Rhinolophus ferrumequinum: one gene and its partner. The protein of the gene in region 2 purifies or fractionates together with the protein of the main gene of each other region. This does not show direct contact. Links are inferred from orthologs where the notes say so. Each region holds a gene or a part of one and is shown on either strand. Other genes may lie near its edges.

The links. The genes of interacting proteins can lie anywhere in the genome.
Region 1: the proteins of DDX21 (region 2) and RRP1B purify together in Homo sapiens (affinity purification with mass spectrometry; 3 studies listed by BioGRID and IntAct, with this or other methods). This does not show direct contact. The link is inferred for Rhinolophus ferrumequinum from reciprocal best matches to the Homo sapiens genes DDX21 and RRP1B.

Annotation. Positions count from the first base shown.
Region 1 is NC_046285.1:107,110,874-107,120,853, reverse strand, and holds the start of RRP1B (ribosomal RNA processing protein 1 homolog B), read right to left. Parts: upstream 3,727-9,980; coding exon 3,653-3,726; intron 3,572-3,652; exon of another isoform or gene 3,392-3,571; intron 3,382-3,391; coding exon 3,083-3,381; intron 1-3,082. Other genes in the region: HSF2BP (heat shock factor 2-binding protein), read left to right, coding at 4,549-4,584, 5,319-5,469. UniProt on the Homo sapiens protein: Positively regulates DNA damage-induced apoptosis by acting as a transcriptional coactivator of proapoptotic target genes of the transcriptional activator E2F1.
Region 2 is NC_046299.1:47,390,378-47,400,135, reverse strand, and holds the start of DDX21 (nucleolar RNA helicase 2), read right to left. Parts: upstream 3,866-9,758; 5' UTR 3,781-3,865; coding exon 3,694-3,780; intron 1,397-3,693; coding exon 959-1,396; intron 1-958.

The sequences.
Region 1 (9,980 bases), on a different chromosome or scaffold from region 2:
TGAAACATTTAAAGCAAAACAAATTTCCCTTATTCAATGTCTTTCAAAACTTTGAAGGTGAAGTACGCGTCTCTAGTTTTGTTCCAGTTGCTTCTTGACCTGTCTTTTCTTCTGGGGGTTGAATTTCTTAAACTTAACAACCAAGTGTCTGACAATATAGGCTTAGTTCAAAACGACCGAGGTGAAAGGAAAGTTGAGACGTGGATACAGGAAATACCAACAAGCTTTGAAGTGAGAAAATTCACCTGTTCTCACCACGAAGGAGCCCAGGAACTGTTTCAGGAGGGGGTGGAGTGTATATTCAAACTCACACCTGTGTCACAACAGCTGCAGCTCCTGGATATTATAACTGGGTCGAGGGACCCCCCCCTAGCTATCGTATGAAAAAACACTGATTTCCCCCATTACTACCATTGAATCTGAGCCCCACCAACTGTAAGATGTAGTTATTTTATGTGCCACCAAATGAAAGCAAGAATGCAAATGGAACTGTCACAAAGTTAATTAAGATAAATCCTAATTTTAGCAGGTGTTCAAAGTTGCAGAATCGATCAAACGGGCAGGGAGTGTCGCCTGCTTAGTTCAGTGGTGATCACCAGAGCCACCCACGGTGTGCGCAGTGAGAAGAGCACACAGCAGGCACCCTGTGCCCGACCCCACAGACCTGGATGAGGAAATGACACGTGGGCCGGCCCGAGGAAAACCATGGACGGCGACAGCGACCATCCCATGACCACACACTCAGCACCAACGGTGCTGCACGCTGAGCTGCTGTGAGCAGCCGAAGGGTTTCTCATTCCTCCCCCCTCCTCCCCCACCCCCTGGCCTTCTTTCCCCCTCCCCCACCCCACTCTGGTTCAAGCCGTTGTTTCTCAGTCTGGTTGTGTAGGACACAGCTCCCTGGCCCGTGCTGGTTACGAGAGTTGCGCTCCCCCGGCTGAGGGGGTCGGTCGCTGGTCGGCCGTTCACGGCAGCTCACGGCAGCTCTCGCCGGCTGCCGGCTGCTCACACTGGCCACCGGCCGCTCCTGGCAGCACATGGCAGCCCACAGGCCCAGGTGGAAAGTGAACCGGCGATCTTGGTGTTAGGAGCATGGTGCTCCAACCACCTGAGCCACCGGGCAGGTCCTCTCATTTCTTTCTAACATCACAAAGCTGTCTGTGCTGCTGGAGGACGGCTATATGTATGTTAGAGTAAAACTTTAGATTTCCTAAGACAACATGCAAAAAGAAATTGAGGTTGTCAATGAGATTAAAATGTCAGGCCAAGTACTTCCAAACTTGTGTTTCTATTTTGATAGAGTACAGCTGTGGCAGAGATCATGTTAATTTTGTCCCATCATCACTGTCTATGACGTTTACTTTGCAGTTGCTTTTCTGAAGACTCACTATACTCTGTGCAATGAACAAGAGATTCAGATGAGTAACTGTGGGTGATTGGGGTGCTAAGCGGACAGGGCCCCTGGACATGACAGAAACGCAATGGCTGCAAGTGTTTGCATGAGCATTTCAGACCCTGGACCCGCTCAGCAAGGGGGTTTGAGCAACAGGCTGTCTGGCTGTCTCAGCTCCATATGTACTGCATCTGGCCTTCTGTTCTTGTAAATAGCCAGGCTCCCGTTTGCCTGGATGTGCTTCCACTTCCAGCTAAGAAAACAGACGGAAGCTAACAGTGTTTTGGGGAAAAGTGACACATTAACAGATAATTAGCAAGCAATGCAGCTAAGTGCTACAATAGACACAAACTGGATATTCCAGAATCCCAGGGGAGTGGGGGTGAGAGGACCGGGAAAGTGATGCTGAATATTGGGAGTGGGTCAGGGGTGGAAATCTTTTCAGCATGAACAGAAGCAAGGCAGACACGTGATAAACGGGGTATTGTACACTAGGACCCGGGAATGCTCTGCTGTCGATGGAACGTGAAGCTGGCACATAGAGGATGAGCTGGGAAGAGGCTAGGGGAACAGATGACCTGAGGACTAGGAATTCCAGGGAGGTGGAGACGCCAGGTCAGTAGCACGGCTGAGCTACAAGTAGCTAAGGTCAGGCTAGAAATTTAGGGTTAAGAACCTTTAGTGTGTCTGGGGTACCTGAAACCACGAGAGGAAATGAAGTCTGTCAGGGAGATCCCTAACAAAACCGAGGCCAGGAAACTTTGATCTTCATTCCGCTTACTAGCAGACTTCCCCTAAAATTGTATTTTCTTTTCCGAGTGGTCTTTTGTGATTGCTCTTCAAAATAAACTAACAATGTCAGTACTGCGGGGAGATGATACCCATTCTTTCAAGTAGGCTCTAAATGTGTTAGGAATTAAACCAAACGTTATCTTGGTGCAATAGAAAACACCTTGGGCGTGCATTAGGATCTGCAGAACATATTTTGCATCAGGCAAATGCAATCCTTCAATGGCACCCCACTGCAACGCCAGTGGGGGGAGGACCAGGCGGATGACTACATTTTGAACTTCACGTCCCTCCGCCCTCCCCGCCCCGACTTACTGCTCGTCCAGCCATGCCTCCCGCCTCAGTTCGAACCTGTCGGCCTCCCCGCAGAGAGGCCTTCCTGGACCAGCCGGCGCAGAGGAGCGCCCTCCTTCCCTGATCCCCATGTCCGTTACTACACTCCACAATCTCTGCTTTAGTGATCTCGCCGCGCCCTCCGCCCCAGCTTTACTAGCACGAATGCTTCGAGGGTAGGAACTCTGTCTTCTGTCCTGTAACTGCAGCCCCGAAAGGTGTTGTTCTAATGATGGCGTGAATCAATGAGGAGCACAGCATAAATCAGGCTGAGCCTAGTACGTAAAGTACAGGACCCGGGTGGGACAGACGGGGTCTATTCTGAGCTTTCCTCCCACTGTGACTTTCCGCAGACGACCTAACCCCTGTGGGCCTCAGTCCCTCCACCGTAAAACCAGACTAGACCCGGCGGGAAGCGGTCCCCACGGTGCGAACACACAGAAGCACGCGGCAGGGGCGCGACTCAGCGCCCGACGTTTTCCCTGCTCTACCGGCGGCTCGGCCCAGGCCCCGGCCTTCAGCCCCGACCCGGCCGCCACGCGGCGCGGCGAACCGCCGGGCGCCCACCTGTCTCCCTCTGCGTCTTCACGCTGATGTACTGGCGCAGCTTCTTCACAGCCCGGTCCCGGACGCCCTTCTCGTGCGATGCCAGCCGCTGAGCGAACTGGATCTCGGCGGGCTGCATGGCGGGGGCCCTCGCGCCCGCTGGAGCATCCCCGGCCGCAGCCCCCGGCACCTCTGCCTCGCGCCGCGGCGCTGCCCGGGCCACGACTGCGCACAAGGCGGCGGGGGCGGGGCGGCGCGGAGGCGGCGCGCGGGCTGATGGCGTCACAAAAGCGCCCCGCAGCCGCCGCTCGCGGCGCGTTCTGGGAGCGAGCGCCGCGGGCGCCCTGGCGGGGGCCCTGCAGCTCCGGGCCCCGTTGCGTCACGCCATCGCTCCGCTGTCTTTCGGTCACCGTCACCGAAAGTCAGTGCCGTTGACAGCGAGGTTAGCCAGGATCGGGTCTCGGCCAGAAGCAGTCGGACGGCCGATTGTAAATGGTCTAGAATCTTTAGGTACATTCACAAAACCCCCCATTTGGCCCGGCAGCCATCCCACGAAACACATGGCACCGAGTTTTTAATTGTACTCCCCACACCGCCTCGGCCGGTGGACACCGGGACGAAGGGTCGTCCTTCGGGTTCTTGGCGGGTGTTGGGGGCAGCCCCATTGAGAGGTCTCTAGGGCCAGCGGAGGCGGCACCCTCGAGGGTCCCCTAGTGTCTTGGTCCCGGTGCTGGGGTAGGTCCCGGGGCAGGGGCAGGGGCGGCGCAGGCGGGAGCCGGGGTTTGCAGCGTGTCAGCCCTCGGGCATGGAGAGCAAGCATCCTGGGAATCAGCAATGTCAGCTTCCTGCGGGGTTCAGAGACGGACCCCGATTATTAATCGTGCAATAATCGGTCCAAGTCAACCCACCGGCTGCACCGTATTTTGCGAACTCAGTGGGCAAGCGGATGGACTAGGCGATGTCGCCACGTTCACGGTGCTCACTTCAGTTCTAGGCAGCTGGTGGGACTGACGTTCCCTACGGGGGGCCGGGGCAGACTTCCCGAGGACCCCGTTGTCAGAATGCTGGGGCCCTCGCTCAAGGAGCTTGGAGCGAGCAGGGGAGCATGGCCGCGGGCCGAACGGGTGGTGGTTCCTCGACGGCTTCGCCCTTAACTCTAGCACCTCTCGCCAACCAGGGAAAGCCCGATTCTATTCATTTCATTTGACATTTACACCTGGGTCCCACTGTCTCTCTACTTTGCAGTTAACAAGTTGAAAGCCCCCGCTAAGCCAGAAGAGCTGACGCGGGTCGAGCGAGCCCACCCCTAGTTCGTGGGGCTGAGAGGGCGGCGCGCACGACGAGGTTTGAGCCTCGTGCCTCGCCGTACCCGACCCCAGGCCCATAGGGACGTAGTCTCGCGCTTCTTCCCGCGCTTTCTGCCGTGAGGGGGTCAGAGGGCGCGCGTGCTGCGCAGGCGCAAGCAGCCGGAGCCGAGGCTGGTGGCCATGGGCGAAGCCGGAGGCGCTGAGGAGGCCCGCCGGGTGAGTGAGCAGGCCGGCGTGTTCGCGCTGCCACCATTTGCTTTCTCGCGCCGCCCTGAGGCCCGTGTGGGCCTCGCCCAGTGCGCGCAGGACCAGCCCTGGGCCCGTCAGCAGACGGCGTGGCCGGGGCGACCTGCCTGCGAACCGGGTGCGGGTCCCGGAGGCCGCAGCCGGGGGCGGTGGGCGCTCGTGGGAGGGGACGGCGGTGCCGCTCTGCCTCCTACGCCTGGCGTCCCCGAGCCCGCGACGCTGTGATGCTCGTGTCCGGCTTACTGTCCGTAGGACGGTCAGGGCTGCGCCGTCGTCGCTTCCGCGGCACGTGGTGTAGGGGGAGGGGCCGGACCCGCGTTCGGAGCCTGTGGGGTCCCGCTTAGGGCGGCGCTTCGAGGAAGCCCCCCGCCTCCCTCTGCCTGCGGTCCTGGCGCGGCGGGGCAGGCTGGGCGCGTCCACGGGCGTTCGCTGACACTCCCCTTGCCTCCTGCTGAGCGCGGCGCCGAAACGCTCGGAGAAGGGCGCTGGCGTTTTGCTGGGCTTCTGGCGGCGGGCGTCGTGGGCACTGAAAACAGTGGCTCCCGTGGGGAAGGCGGGGCCTCTGGGCCAAGCCGGGCCACGGCCGCAGACGGCGCGCCGGGTAAAGCCGGGCTTCTGTTCTGCAACGACGGCCGGCCGACGGCTGCTGATGGCCGTTGTCTGCACAGAAACGTGATACTCCTACCATCTGCTTGTTCTTCCAGCACGTGGGGACCAAAGAAGAGTATGTGAGAGTCAGAAAGAAGGACCTGGAACGGCTGACGACGGAAGTGATGCAAATACGGGACTTCTTGCCCAGAATCCTGAACGGGGAGGTGTTGGAAAGCTTCCAGAAGTTAAAGGTTATAGAAAAAAGTGAGTTTTCCTTCGTCTCCAACGGCCCTTAATGCTGGGAGCGATCTGTCCCAGCAGGTTTACGTTCCGTGGATACCTGTGACGCAATTGTCAACAACCTGGAAGGAACAGTTACAGTCCTTAACTACGTTTGGGGGAATCACAAGAGACGGAGGAGCTCGCAGGAGTAGTTGGGGGACATGCAAGGTTTTGTTGGAGGGTTGCTAGCTTTCTGAAGTGTCCGTTACCACCTTCTCTTTCTGTCCACCTCTGTTCCTTGGCAGAACTTCCTCCTCTGGTGGTTGAAAGTTCTAAGAGGTTCTTACTGGTGTAGGTTAAGGACCTTGCCTTGTGGAAACCTTGCACAGACTTAAATGTGTCTGTAGCCGTGGCTGCATGTGGGTTGATTTGTCTCTGGGTTGATGGACGGGTCAGCCTCTGGCCCTGATTTGAGGTCAGCCTTGCCAGGACATGCCCAGTGCCCACTCAGACGGGAGATTGGAGCTGAGCTGTCATGTCACATATCAGTCTAGCAGCTGATGGAAGTGCTTGGCGGTGTTCCAGGATTGAGTCAGCAATTGCCTAATTGAGGCTGAATTACAATTAAATCAGTCTTCAACGTTCCAGGCTAATTCACCACAGTGCGTTGGACTGTTTGCCGTCCCCCTTAGGAAAGGTGCAGCTGGGGGGCCTGGGTTGTGTTTGGAGCACTAGTCCAGACAAGAAGGCATCTTCCCAGTACAAGTTTCTGCTTTGTGCAAATGCGTCTGCTCAAGGGGCAGCCATATCCAGTGAGGAGGGAGAATGCTCGTGGCCACCATAGCTCCCTGCCCTGTTTATCCTCTTTGGAATCCTCGGATCTGCTGTCCTCTGCTCTGGGAGGTGGACTCCCCCACACCGCTTGCACTGGCTCCCTTGCTGACTGCCAGGAGGGCTCACCAACGGAAAGCGTCAGTGGGTGGAGAGAGGTTGGGTGTTTCTTCCTGCTCCCTCTGCAGCTGTGACCCCCACCCAGGGGCCTCCCCCACCAGTCTCAGCTCTCATTGGGCTCCAGTAACACTGTTTTCTCCGCTCATTCCTTCAGCTGGAGGGCTGTTGCCTGTCACTCTGCTGGGTGGCTATGTTTCTCACTGCAGAGTAATAAACTGGCAGTCTGCAAAACACATCAGGGTCTCATGGATGATAAGCATGAGTCAGTCTTTGGAGGTCAGTCCTCTACCAAAGTCAAATTGTGCTTATAAAAGCAAGGGCCACAAACGAATCTGGGGGGACTTGGTCAAGGTTAGACTTCTGGAGATCTTGTCCCGCACTCCCTGGCCTTCCCCACGGATGTCTTGGGCCACTTCTCTGTCTCCTTTGCTTATCACCCTTCTGTGCAGCAGCCTGTTAGCCGGTGGAGACTCAGCCCTGGGCCCCCTTCTCCCCTTATCTGTGCACACACAGCATTAGTTACCATCTGGGTGCCAGTGGTTCCTGGATGTAGCTGTAGCTCAAACCTCTCCTCCAGGCTCAGAACCCTGACTGTAAGTCCTACTTGGCATTTCTCTCATGTGTTTCATAATCACTTCAAATTCTAATTGTCTCATCTTAGCCTAATCAGTCTATGACTATCAGGAAGGACCTAGAGTCTCACAAGGTCAGGTTTATGGCTCATGGCAGGGAGGGAGACCACCCACCAGAGGAACTGGGCATCTTGCCAACAGAGGAAAGGATGGAGCTGCTGTAGGATTTGGGGCAGGGTGGAGTCCAGCTGAAGTGCAGGGGAAGCTGTATTTCTGTGGCTCCAGGCAAAGGAGGGCTGCATCAGGGGTCAGCATCAGGTCTCCCTGCAGTGGACGCGGGTCCCGTTTCCTGGAAAACTACAAAATTGAGGTAGATGTGGAATTTAGTGCCTGCAAATCCTTCTTTGAGGTTCTGTGGCTCCTGGAAGCCACGCTGCTGCCCTGTGTCACAGTGCCTTTGGTCCCACAGGCGAGAGTAGGATGTGTCCTCTTCCTGGTGTAAGCAAAATTTCTGATAGTGGGGATTTTACAGACTAAGCTTTCTCTGAATAAGAAACCACTCATGAAAGGGGTCACGATGACGCTTACAGTGCAGTGTGTCCTTGGGAGAAATATTGTTTCCTGTTAACTTGGCAGTTGGCTTCATGTGTATCTGTTATCCCAGCCCGACAAACTACAGGACAGTTTCACTTTCTCAGAGCAAGCTGGTTTTTACTTTCTCGCGGTTGACTCATGACATCCGTCCCTCCACCCCACCGAAAACTGGCTGCCTGAGCCTCCCCAGGGCACCGACATTCAGATGAGGGGCCAGGATCCTCCTTGCTCCCCATCTCCTGCTCACCATTCAGCCCCCACCTGTCTATCAGAACATCCTAGAGGTTTCCCCTCACGGACACGTCCTGAGTCCGTCAGCCTGCCGCCATTGTCACTGCCACCACCCAAGTCCAGGCCCCTCTCATTTCGCCTGAATCTCTGCCCCTGGCACTGTCCACTTGTTGGCACTCTCCAGTCTGTTCTATACACTGTAGCCAAGTAATTTTTAACAATTCAGTCTGATTATTCATTCCCCGGCTTACGTCTTCAATGGCTTCTCTTTGCTGTTAGGGTAAAGACCAAAAACCAAAGAGAAAACCCACCAAAACCCACAATCACTCAAGAACCTAAACAGAACTGTGCCATGGCCTGAAAGGCTGTGTCATTGGGCTCAGCCTCAGGCCCAGTCTCACTTCCTTATTGGACAGCCTGGACACGTGTGTCCCTTTTGGGTGTTGTCAGAACGCCCTGCACGGTTACCTCAGACAAAATGGTTTATTCCCATCTTATGGTACAAGTATGTTCCCTGTGCAGGGCTGAATACTTGGTCCCAGGGGACCGCCACCCTTCTAAAGTGGTGTCCCCTGAAGCTGGATGTGCTACAGGAAACCGAGTGTTAAAGGAAGGATCCAAGTGGATTGCGGTGGCGGCAGGAGGTTTTACCGGGAACTTTGAACTTCAGCTGGCCGTTGGAGACGTCTGCCCTGGCCTAAGGCCTGACTAAGGCCTCTTCCCCGACCCACCTTCTGTTTTTAGTTTTGGTTGTTATGTAACAAAAAAAAGATAGAAGTTGCAGAGATAAGGAGTTGCAAAAGTAAAGATTTCTTAAACAGCTCTCTTTGCAACATCAGGATGCTTTTCATTTAAACTGATGTTGAAGCTTGAAATCAGAAGGGTGAGATATTTTTGTTTCACAATTAAATCACAAGGTCTAATCCTTGCCTTAATTGACAAGTGTTCATTTTGGAGAGAGAGGATGAAAAAGCCATTGCCTGTTTAAATCTCCATTGTCTTATAGAAAATACCTTTCAAATGTGTTATGTTGCATTTGAGATGTTAAATGGTGTAATTTAAAAACAACTTGAGGGCCTGCCCGGTGGCTCAAGTGGTTGGAGCGCTGTGCTCCTAACAGCGAGGTCGCTGGTTCGATTCCCACATGGTTGCTGTGAGCAGCCAGAGGTCGGCCATAAGCTTGCCAGTGGCCAATGTGAGTGGCCGGCAGCCAGCGTGAGCGGCCATAAGCTTGCAGTCTCATTTCTGACATTTAAAAAGCTGCAACATTGGTTTTAATGTGTTAAAATTTATTTGTTTATTTAGATGTATTTTAACGGTAATACTGTGAAGCACCCTTGTTTGTTTACTGAACATCAGCAGTGACTACAAACCAGCACAGGCATGATATCCTGGAGAGAGATTTGACTAACACACTTCCTTGAACGGTGGAAAAAAAAGTTGCTTTGTGTAATTTCAAATCGACAGCCCTCCCTGACCTCTGTCAGCATGGTCCAGTACAGCTTTCTGTGATGCGGAAGGTGGATAATCCCTGCTGTCCGCCTCTGGTGTAAAATAGCCACTACTATATGTGGCCAACTGACCCCCTCATTTAGCATTAATTAGTTTTGTAATGATTTTTCACTTGGTTGTTTTTTATTTTAGTTCCCTGATGAAATCCTCTTGTTGCCTATTTTCGGGAGCATATTATTTAGTTATTTTAAACTCTGAGTCTATAAATCCAATACCTGGATCACCCCTTGGCCTGCTTTTCTCATCCAATTCTCCTCTGGGTCATTCTGGTAATTTTTTGTTGGTTAATGGACTTTCTGAATGAAAACTTGTAGAGGCTCTGGATAAATAGTTTTCTCCGGCAAGGATTTCTTTCCTCTGGCTTCTACCTGCCTGTCAGGGTCGAGTCTGAGTAGATCACGTGGTCCGTCAGGGCTTGAGCTCATTCACGCTGGTTTCAGCCATACTTCCAGCTGGACTATTTCTAGTTCTTTCTCCCGCCAAGGGTTTTAGTCCTACAGCAGCGTCCGGCTGAGAGCCCTTCCGTCTCGGCAGGCTCCGACCTTCAGCCTTGATGTCTGCAGCACCACGAGACTGCTCTGAGCTCTGCCGGTGCCTTGGCCTGTCCTCCTCAGTCTGCTGGCGTCGGCGCCTCCCTATGCTGCTCCCACACAGGGCTGGTGCTGGCGGGGGCAATGGCTCTGGGGGTCCATT
Region 2 (9,758 bases):
GCTAGTGAAGGCAGATTCAATCTCAATATACTGTTGAACAGGTCATCAGCCCTTTTCCACAGCAACATGTCATATTTGGCCATAGAAAATAAGGAACAAATAGTTATGATAAAGTGGTCAGTGCCATTATTTGATAGTAAAAAATCTGAATGCCCAACAGATTACGTGAATTTCTAAATATTTATGATTATGTAACCATGAAAAAGATTTAATATTTTTATTTAATAAGTATATGCAATTAAATATTTAATAAAAGTGGGAGAAATGCTTATATAAAAATGGGAAAGGCATGATACGAGATTGCACATAGTACAATCCTAACCTGATTTAAAGTAGTTGCATATATAAAAAGTACTATAAGGAAACATCAAAATTCAATGCAGAAATTCTAGGGAGTTTTTTGATACAATTCTGTATTTCCTAAATTCTCTATATCATATACTTTAATCATCGGAAAACAAATTTTAAATGCTGATCACGACCTATACCAAACACAAAATTGTTTATTAAAATTAGGGTTTTTCTTTGATGACTGAGTTTCTGAAAGGTAACAGAACTTCCAAATGCAGACATTTATTCATCTTGTTCAACTCAGATTAACGGCCTAAACAAAGAGATTAATGCAATCCAGCAAATAGCTTTCAGTGGTTCCACTTAATCGAGATTTATTTTGTGAAATCCTTCAGAGGGAAGCTAGGGTCTATTTGCATGACTATATCCCTCCTCTTGATTTTTGACATGCAAATACGCTGGTTGACATCTTGAGAGATTTCCCCCAAACTTAAACAGATATGTTTACTTGCAAAGGAGGCATTCTGACACTATGCTCAAAGGATCCCCCATGAAGTGCTGACATATCAAATTTCCTCCCTTTATTAAACAATATGTATCAATAACCTACCTATTTATCTGAAACAATAACAAAAAATACATTCTACATATTTAAATACAACTTCACCTGCTCTAACTCACTGTTACTTTCTTCACTGGTAGCTTCCTTGGAGTTGGAATCAGGTCCAGAATGAGAGATCCCATTCTTCAGTTTGGGGCTTTTCTCTCCAATTTCTCCATTCATTTCCTTTTCTTTCTTCATCTTCTTGGGCTTAGGCGCAGATATTTCTTCTTCAGAAGGCTCATCATTTTTTATTGCTTTTTTGGTTTTAGAAGCAACAACTTTCTTTTCAGTGGGCTCCTTTGGTTTTTTTACACGTTTGGTTTCAGAAGAAATAATGTCATCTTGAGATGGCTCCTCTTTCTTTTTTGCCTTTTTGGATTTAGGAGAAATCATGTCAACTTCAGAAGTCTCTGCTTTCTTTTTAACTTTTTTAGCTTTGGGGGAAACAACTTCTTCTTTTTCTTCTGCTGCCTCTTCAGATTTTGCCTTTTTTCTACCTTTCTAAAAAAAAAAAAAAAAATCAATAAAGAAAATACAAAAATTGAACAGAGAATCTGATTCATTTGTATTGTATAATACACCAATTCTAGATTATTACAAAATCACATAATTAAGAAGAACACAATTTGGGGTATTTTTCAACATCTGTACTTTTACCTTGCAACAAGGCAAAAATCAAACAGTATCCTTTTTAGTACTATTTCTTAGCTTTATGGAGGTAAGTACATATTAGTAATTTCATGAGCTTGGAAGAGAATGCTTCTTTGTAATTATTTAATTTATACTGGTCAAACAAATTGTAAAATCAAATTTTCACAAGGGATTTGGGGTGGCTCGTGGGATGCTCCAACAGGCTCTAAACTAAATACAGTTTAATTCTGATAGAGTAATAGGACATACATGTCCACGGATAAATAATATTAAGCAGACTTCTTTGCTAGAATTCCTGCACAGGTCAAACAAGAATTCATACCTGCCTTGCCTATCTCACAAGTGCAAATGATTTTACAGAGACACTTTTTGAACCAAAAAGCTGTAAAAACCCACAACCTATCACCCCACGTGTAAAAAAGATGTACCTAATTTAAAGAAGAAAAAAAGTGGGGCCAGCCAGTGGCTCAGGCGGTTAGAGCTTTATGTTCCTAACTCCAAAGGCTGCCAGTTCGATTCCCACATAGGCCAGTGGGCTCTCAACCACAAGGTTGCCAGTTCAATTCCTCGAGTCCTGCAAGGGATGGTGGGCTGCGCCCCCTGCAACTAGCAACAGCAACTGGACCTGGAGCGGAGCTGTGCCCTCCACAACTAAGATTGAAAGGACAACAACTTGACTTGGAAAAAAAAAAAGTCCTGGAAGTACACACTGTTCCCCAATAAAGTCCTGTTCCCCTTCCCCAATAAAATCTTAAAAAAAAAAAAAAAAAAAAAGAAGAAGAAAAGTTTCAAGGAAGTGCAATGAGTGAAACCTCAAAACCAAACCAGATTATGGCTCCTACCTGAAATGTCTGACCTATCCAACTTTTCATATTACTAAAAACTTTATTACTGAAAACAATTAGATGTTGTAGCCTGTTAAAACCTCTCTGGCAGAGCTACAGCACAATCCCGGAAGTAAAGACTACACTGAGCTGAAATCTGCCTCCCTGAAACTTCAGGCCTGGCCTCTGCTCTCAAATCATGGATGAGGGGTAATCTCTCCCACAAGATCTGTCCTTCAGACATCTGAAAAATAATCTGGTCCCCCATCCAAGACTTCAGTTCTCTCATCCCTTGGTTCCACCAAATTGGAGTCTTCTCCAATTTGAAGAGTCTTGGTCTCTTCTGGAACACAGTGGAGTTTGGTCATGTCCCTCCTAATCTGAGCGTCCCACAACTGAACACGTTCAATGATGCACAGCAGGTAAAGCAGGACCACCTCCTCACCATTTGTGAAGACAAGTCTGTGCTTCTTCGGCTTCTACACCACCAAAATATTGCTGTTGTAAAAACTCCCCATAAAAAAGACCCAGACACAACAAGGAAGGAAAATTCTAAATCGTATACAAGTGCAGGGACAATCTTTGTTCCCACTGACCTTACAGTTATATCACTATCTACAGAAGCAACAGCAAGGAGGCAGACAGCTATCAAGGTAATTTATGGCTACTGAATTCTGCTGGCCTATCTCAAAAATATAGTGTACAGTTAGCACCACAGGAGGCTTTACATTTCCACGGGTAATCTGGAGAATAAACATTAAGAGGAACCGAATTACTTCTTCTAAGGGTTGCTTACCGGAAAACAAACTGTACTTCACTTAATAGGGTAAAAAGAATGTCACTGCTGACGCCGCCCACGTGTACCTGTACAGGTGGGTTCAAGTCTCGCTGGTTTAGTCTAAAAGTCAGTCCCTACCTTGACTTACGATTCCCTCCGCGAACGCACTCGCCTGGAGTTAGGTCTGAGTCTGAGCCAAAACGTGGGGCCTAACCGTGAACTTACAACTCTGCGCACCGGGTGCAGGGCGCCCAGACTCCGGGACCACGTGGGACACCCGGCCATCCCTCCAGTTCCGATCGGTCCGGGCCTCTCGGCCAGAACTACCCGAGCGCGGCAGCGCGCCCATCGCCCGCGGAGACCACCACTCCTGGACGTTCCTTGTCCGAAACCCACGCGGGTCTCCGCACGAGGCCGGTCAGCGCCGCGCCCCCACGCGCTCCCAGCCGGGACACCCCTCCTCTTCGTACTCCGCGGCCCCGCTCCCCCCAGCGCCCCGGCCGCTCGTCCTGCCTTGCCCCAGGTCCCTCGGCCCTCGGTGGCACCTTCTCATTTTGCTTTCGAGGTATCTCCATTTTCCCCATGGCCGTGTCTGATTCCAAATCCGCGTCACTAAGGAGTTTCCCAGGCATCACTCTGCACAGACTGCGTAGAGCGACCAATTTCGTCCACCGCGTGGAGAGGAAGAGACTAAAGTAACCCTTGGGCCCACCCAGCTTTCGTCACTTCCTGTGACAAAAGCCTACGAAAGCCTTTCCCCCGGAAGCTGAAATCTCCACGAAGGCAGATCCCCACGTGGTAGTTCTTAAGCACTGGCTGCTCGCGCTGCTTGGGCGTAGTGAATTGACTGCTTACGGCGTCTAAACCAGAAGGTACTTATAGAAGGGTCGAACTAGAAGGAACCACCAAGGTTGGCTTTGTGTTATCGTTCAAACACTAGTCAGATTCTCGCTAGTCCGGGCCCGATAAATACAGACTTGTAGCAGCTTTTGAGTGGCTCCTGTTCGGTACTTTAGATATTGCTCGAGTTTGCAAATACTTGCGAGATGTGTATTCTTGATCCTTTAGTCAACACTGAAAGGAGGCGCCCAGACTTACAAGCCTGGTTTAGAACTAGAATTCAGTAGAGTGCGGTCGTTCATTCATGCACTCAACAAACATCCCCTAAGAATTCACCGTGTTACGTACAAGATATAGGGTGAGACTGGTAGGAAATAGACGAGTGTCACTTGTTCTGAAGGCAAATAGAGACACCTAAACCGGCCTTGGAACCAAAAGGGGTCCGCAAACCACGTAACCTCTATTAAAAAACACAAGGTCTCCTAGTCTTGAATAATTTGGAAAATAAAGCAGTTGACATAAAGTGGTGCATTGAACGATCTATGGTAATGGTGCTAAACTTCCTCTTAAGAACTAGTGACCAAAGAATTGGGAGCCAATTTATCATAAAATCATTTTTTAAAATGGGTTGAAATCACGCCTGGCTTTGAAAACTTGCCCTATTTACTGTGATTTTGGACGTTACTTAGTCTGAGCCTGAGTTTCTCATGCATAAAATGGGCATAACAAAACCTACTTCATCGGGTTGAGAAAATTAATGAATGAAAAGGATTTAGCAGCATAATAAATGTGAGCTATTAAAACTCAGGTGTTTCAAGGTGTTTAGAAAGACAATTCAAAATGTAATTATTTTATGACAGGAAAATGCTGGAAGTTTTGTTTCTGTATTTCATAAGATTAGTTTTTACTGCATTTTGTTTCACATAAATTATTTGATGTTTCAGAGTCTCAATTTTTTTTTTAACTTTTATTTAGTTAGGTGTGATTTTCCAGGACCCATTAGCTCCAAGTAGTTGTTTCAGTCTAGTTGTGGAGGGCGCAGCTCACCGTGGCCCATGTGGGGATCGAACCGTCAACCTTGCTGTTAAGAGCACTGTGCTCTATCCAACTGAGCTAACTGGCCACCCCGAGTCTCAATTTTTTAACAGATAAATTTAGGTAAATCTACAATAGTGCTTTTATACGTTGTGATAGCCTTAAGCCAGGAACCTTGATTTATCCATTTTTGTATCCTTAAGATTTCAGACAGTGCCTGGCAATGTGGGAGTGGAGATGGGGAGATGGAACCCTTGAAGTAGATTTTAACTATATACCCAGGTAGGAAAGCAATTCAGTCACCCTGGTATTAGATATGAGAGAAGGGGGGGAAACATGAATGCAGTCAACCAGCTGATTAACAAAATGCTTAACATCTAATTTAAGCATTGTACTGCAGACTTTGGAGTACATAAGTGAAGGACCAGTCCCTGCCTCAAGTTGATAAATGACAATCTGGTTGATAAAACCACAGAACTCCTTGATACTATGTGATACTGCTGTAAACAGTACAAGGACATTTTTATTACCAACAGATGTTGAGCAAGAGAGTAAGCCCAGAACACTACTAAATGGAAAACTGTTGTCAAGGCTTGTAAAGTATGTAAGTTCCTTTATAACATACCTGCACATAGGCACAAGGCCAAAATTCTAAGAGGAAACATGCAAAAGGCCGTTTCTGGCTCAGAGGTGACCATACTAATGGATTGAATCTAATCATCAGTGTAAAACTTAGTAATATGTAGAAGAAATGACTCTTATATACGTTTGATAGAAATGTGGAGTTCTGCTCGACATATAAACTATGCCAGACTAGTTTCCTCTGATGTAGATGTAATATATTTTCAAAAAATTGGGGGGGGGAGAATGTTTCACAAAGTATGTATACATACATGCACACAAACAATGAATTTAAAAGTTTACACAAGGGGCCGGCCCGGTGGCTCAGGCGGTTGGAGCTCCAGGCTCCTAACTCCGAAAGCTGCTGGTTCGATTCCCACATGGGCTAGTGGGCTCTCAACCACAAGGTTGCCAGTTCGACTTCTGCAAGGGATGGTGGGCTGCGCCCCCCGCAACTAGCAACGGCAACTGGACCTGGAGCTGAGCTGCGCCCTCCACAACTAAGACTGAAAGGATAACAACTTGAAGCTGAACGGCCCCCTCCACAACTAAGATTGAAAGGACAACAACTTGACTTGGGGAAAAAAAAAAGTCCTGGAAGTACACACTGTTCCCCAATAAAGTCTTTAAAAAAAAAAAAGTTTACACAACAAAATGTTTGCAGTCATTATCTGAGTGATGTGATTATGGGGGGTTTTATTTTTTTCCATATCTCTATTGTTTCAAATTTTCAACAATGGATATATAATACTAATATTTTTAAAAGTAATATGATTTTTAAATTATTAAGCACTACCCCCAAATATATGAAATAAAAATAATGTGAAAGGAGGCTCTCACACATTCACACCTAAATGTGAATTCGTTAGTCAGGAGTCTAATGCTGAAGGGAATAAAACAGATATTATTTACAAATTCAAAAACTGAAGTTCAGGACACCTGAAACTAATATAAAATACTGAATATCAACTGTAATTGAAAAATAAAAACACCCCCCCAAAAAAAAAAAACCCACAAAAAAACAACAAATTAAAAACCTGAAGATCAGGGCAATGGATTCAAGTGCAAATACATGTTAGGTGACCACACTAAGGCAATGTACCAAACTGGAGGCTCTAAACTGCCAAAAGGTGGCGCCATGAAGGTTCTGGCTCTATGAGGAAGAAGTCAAGATAAGTGGCAGAATGTAGCCCAAAGCTGAGAATTTGATAAGGAATTTTCCCTGCCCCGCTTCTTCTTCCAAGATATGGAAAGCAATTATTTAATCTTATTATCTGCTCCCCTTTCCTTGCTAATAGGGAAGCCAGCCTTTAGCAAGTGGACCCCTTAAATCCATGTCCACCCTGCTACATGCTTCTTTTTCACTCTTACCTAACGCTTCAGTGGCTATCCAAAACAAGGTCTATGCCGCCTTCCAAATAGGACTCTTGCCATGTTCTTACCACTGCTTTCCTCATAGTGAAGATCCCAGCAACAAGAGCTACTTATCATTCATCATACTTAGACCTGTATTTTCCCTGACGTATGAGTAATTCATGTGCAGTCATCATGTCCAGAATCTTTCTGTGAACCCTGGGCTAAGTGCCCTGTGCAGAGCTCTCAAATCGTTGCACTTAGTCATTGCCATGGACTAACTTTGGGTGTCCAACTATGTCACTAGATTCTGAGCTCCTGGGGGCAGAGACTGAGCACTCCTTACTTTTGTACCCCAAACACTGTAGATACACAACATATTCTGACTCATGCACCTAGAAATGTAGCCCCTATTTCATCTGGGGTATAAACCCAGCTCTCACAATTATTCAAATGCAGAGCCAACTGCGATTTTTGCCCCTCGTTATAGCTATCTGGAGCCCCGTTCCCCATGACCAAAACTTGCTCCTTTCTCTGTCAGCATTGAGTCCTTCCCCCCCTCCTTGGCTTAACTGAAATCTGGCTCTTCCGGAAAAATACTCCCCTGCAGCTTTCTCACGTTTCTCATTCCCTCACATTCCATGTACCCTGCCTGGTGTCAAGTGTCCTTTTCCGGTAAGCCATTTCTAAACTCCTTCATTTTCATGTAAATGCCCGTGTCCCTTTGAAGATATGGGGTATGATCACCCTATACTCCTCATTCAGGTAATTCACTAACCTCCACCATTCACTGATATTTGGGCCTCTGGCTTAGTCTTCCGCTCCCTCCTCACTCCTGGTTTGTCTTCACTCTAGATTTCATTGCCCATGAAAACCACACATATAACACGTGGCTTCTCAGTGCTTTGACCACCCCGACATAACCTTTGCCCCCAACAGGCCTACTACCACACCCTGCACCTGTCTTCCCAACTGCTCCACTCTTGAAATCTCAAATTCAGACATCCCTCACTGACCTTCAGCCCCCTGGCCCTTTTACACTCTCCCTGTAATCAACCCCACCTTCACTTCAATCGCTAGGCAGTCTACACAACAGGGACCATTACACTTAATCACTTTTGCTGCATCCTTAACATTTTCACCTTGTCATCCTTTCATCTCACAGAGCAAAACCCTAGTCCTGGATCAATCAACTGTCTCCCATCTCCATTCCTACAACAGAATGCTGAGTGTTGCTACAGGAAAACATTCAATCACTCCTGCTGCTGCCACTACAAATTCAGTTTCTAATCTATGCTGGACCCTCAAAGCTACCCTGATTGCCTAGTGAGTTCTTCACCTAGTCCTGCAGTTGATACCTCAGCATTTCTCCACTTGCCTCAAATCTCCTAGCCTACTACCTCCTCCCTTCCTGGCTCCTTCCTATATTAATATTACAACATACTGAAATTTCCCTCATCTCCTCCCACCCCCAACACACACACATACACACATAAAACTTTCAACTGTAATCTCATGTCCGTCCTACTCCCAGCTTTATCTTATTCTTCCCTATTTGGATTTACAGCCAAATTTCTGGAAGACATATTCGTGTTTGTTGTCCCTACTTCGTTTCCCATTTCCTGATGAATCCACTGCTAAGTGGCTTCTACTCTCAATACTATTAATATGGTTGCTCTTCATGTCAAATGTCTTTTTTTGCCAAGTCCAGTGGCCATTTCAGGCTTGTCTTCTAGTTCCTTTTGAAAGCCTCCTACTTCTGGGCTTTGTGCCCTCTTCTTATCCCTTCTCAGTGGGATCCTTTTCTCTGCTATTTAGTAAATACAATGGTATGCTTCTGAGCTCCCTTCTCAGTCTTCTTTTCTTACTATACTTTCCCTGGATAATCTCATCTACTACCTTAACAAAATTACCATTTTTTAATTATTCCCAAATTTTTAGAACAGATCCTTCTCCTGCTTCAGACTAACTACAACTGCCTACTGTTTATCTCCTTACATATCTCATGGGCTACTCAATATTAAAATACCGGGGGTGCCAAAAAATGTATACACGTGGACACTTTGGTCAACGTTGCTCAAGCAGTAGTTCGCTGTAATCAGACGTATCTGGACGCTAATGGGAACCACTTTGAGCACCTCTCGTAATTGCAGAAGTCAAACGTGACTTGTATTCATCTTTGGTTATCGGTATATATTGAGTATTACAATTTTAATAGTTCTTGCCTTTCTTAAAATGTGTATACATTTTTTTGGCACCCTCTGTATATCTAATCCTGAACTAATCATAGTCCCACTCTCTCCACATAGCTTTTCTTGCTTTGTCCTAGTAGGTTATCGTAGTGACAAAAATCTAGGTTTCATTATTCTGCCTCTTTCTCATGATCCAATTCAAAGCACTAGGTCCTAACAATTCTTCTATCTAAAAACCTCTGAAACCTATCCCTATTTCTCAACGTCCACTGCCACTATTTAGCACAGGGGTTAAGAGTGCTGCTTCAGAAGCCAGACTTATCTTGGCAGAAGTCCTCACTCCACAGTGTATTATCCAGTTGTGTGGTTCTGGACAAGCAACAGCCTCTGAAGTGCCTCAGTTCTCATCACTCAAAATATGTTACCTATCACTAGCCAGACCACCATCACCTCTACCTTAGATTACTCTGAAGATTGCTCTGACAGTATCTTAGGTCTACTGGCTTCCAGTCTGGCCCTTCTGCAATCTAGTCTCAGCGTAGCCAGCGATCTTTCTAAAACACAAATCT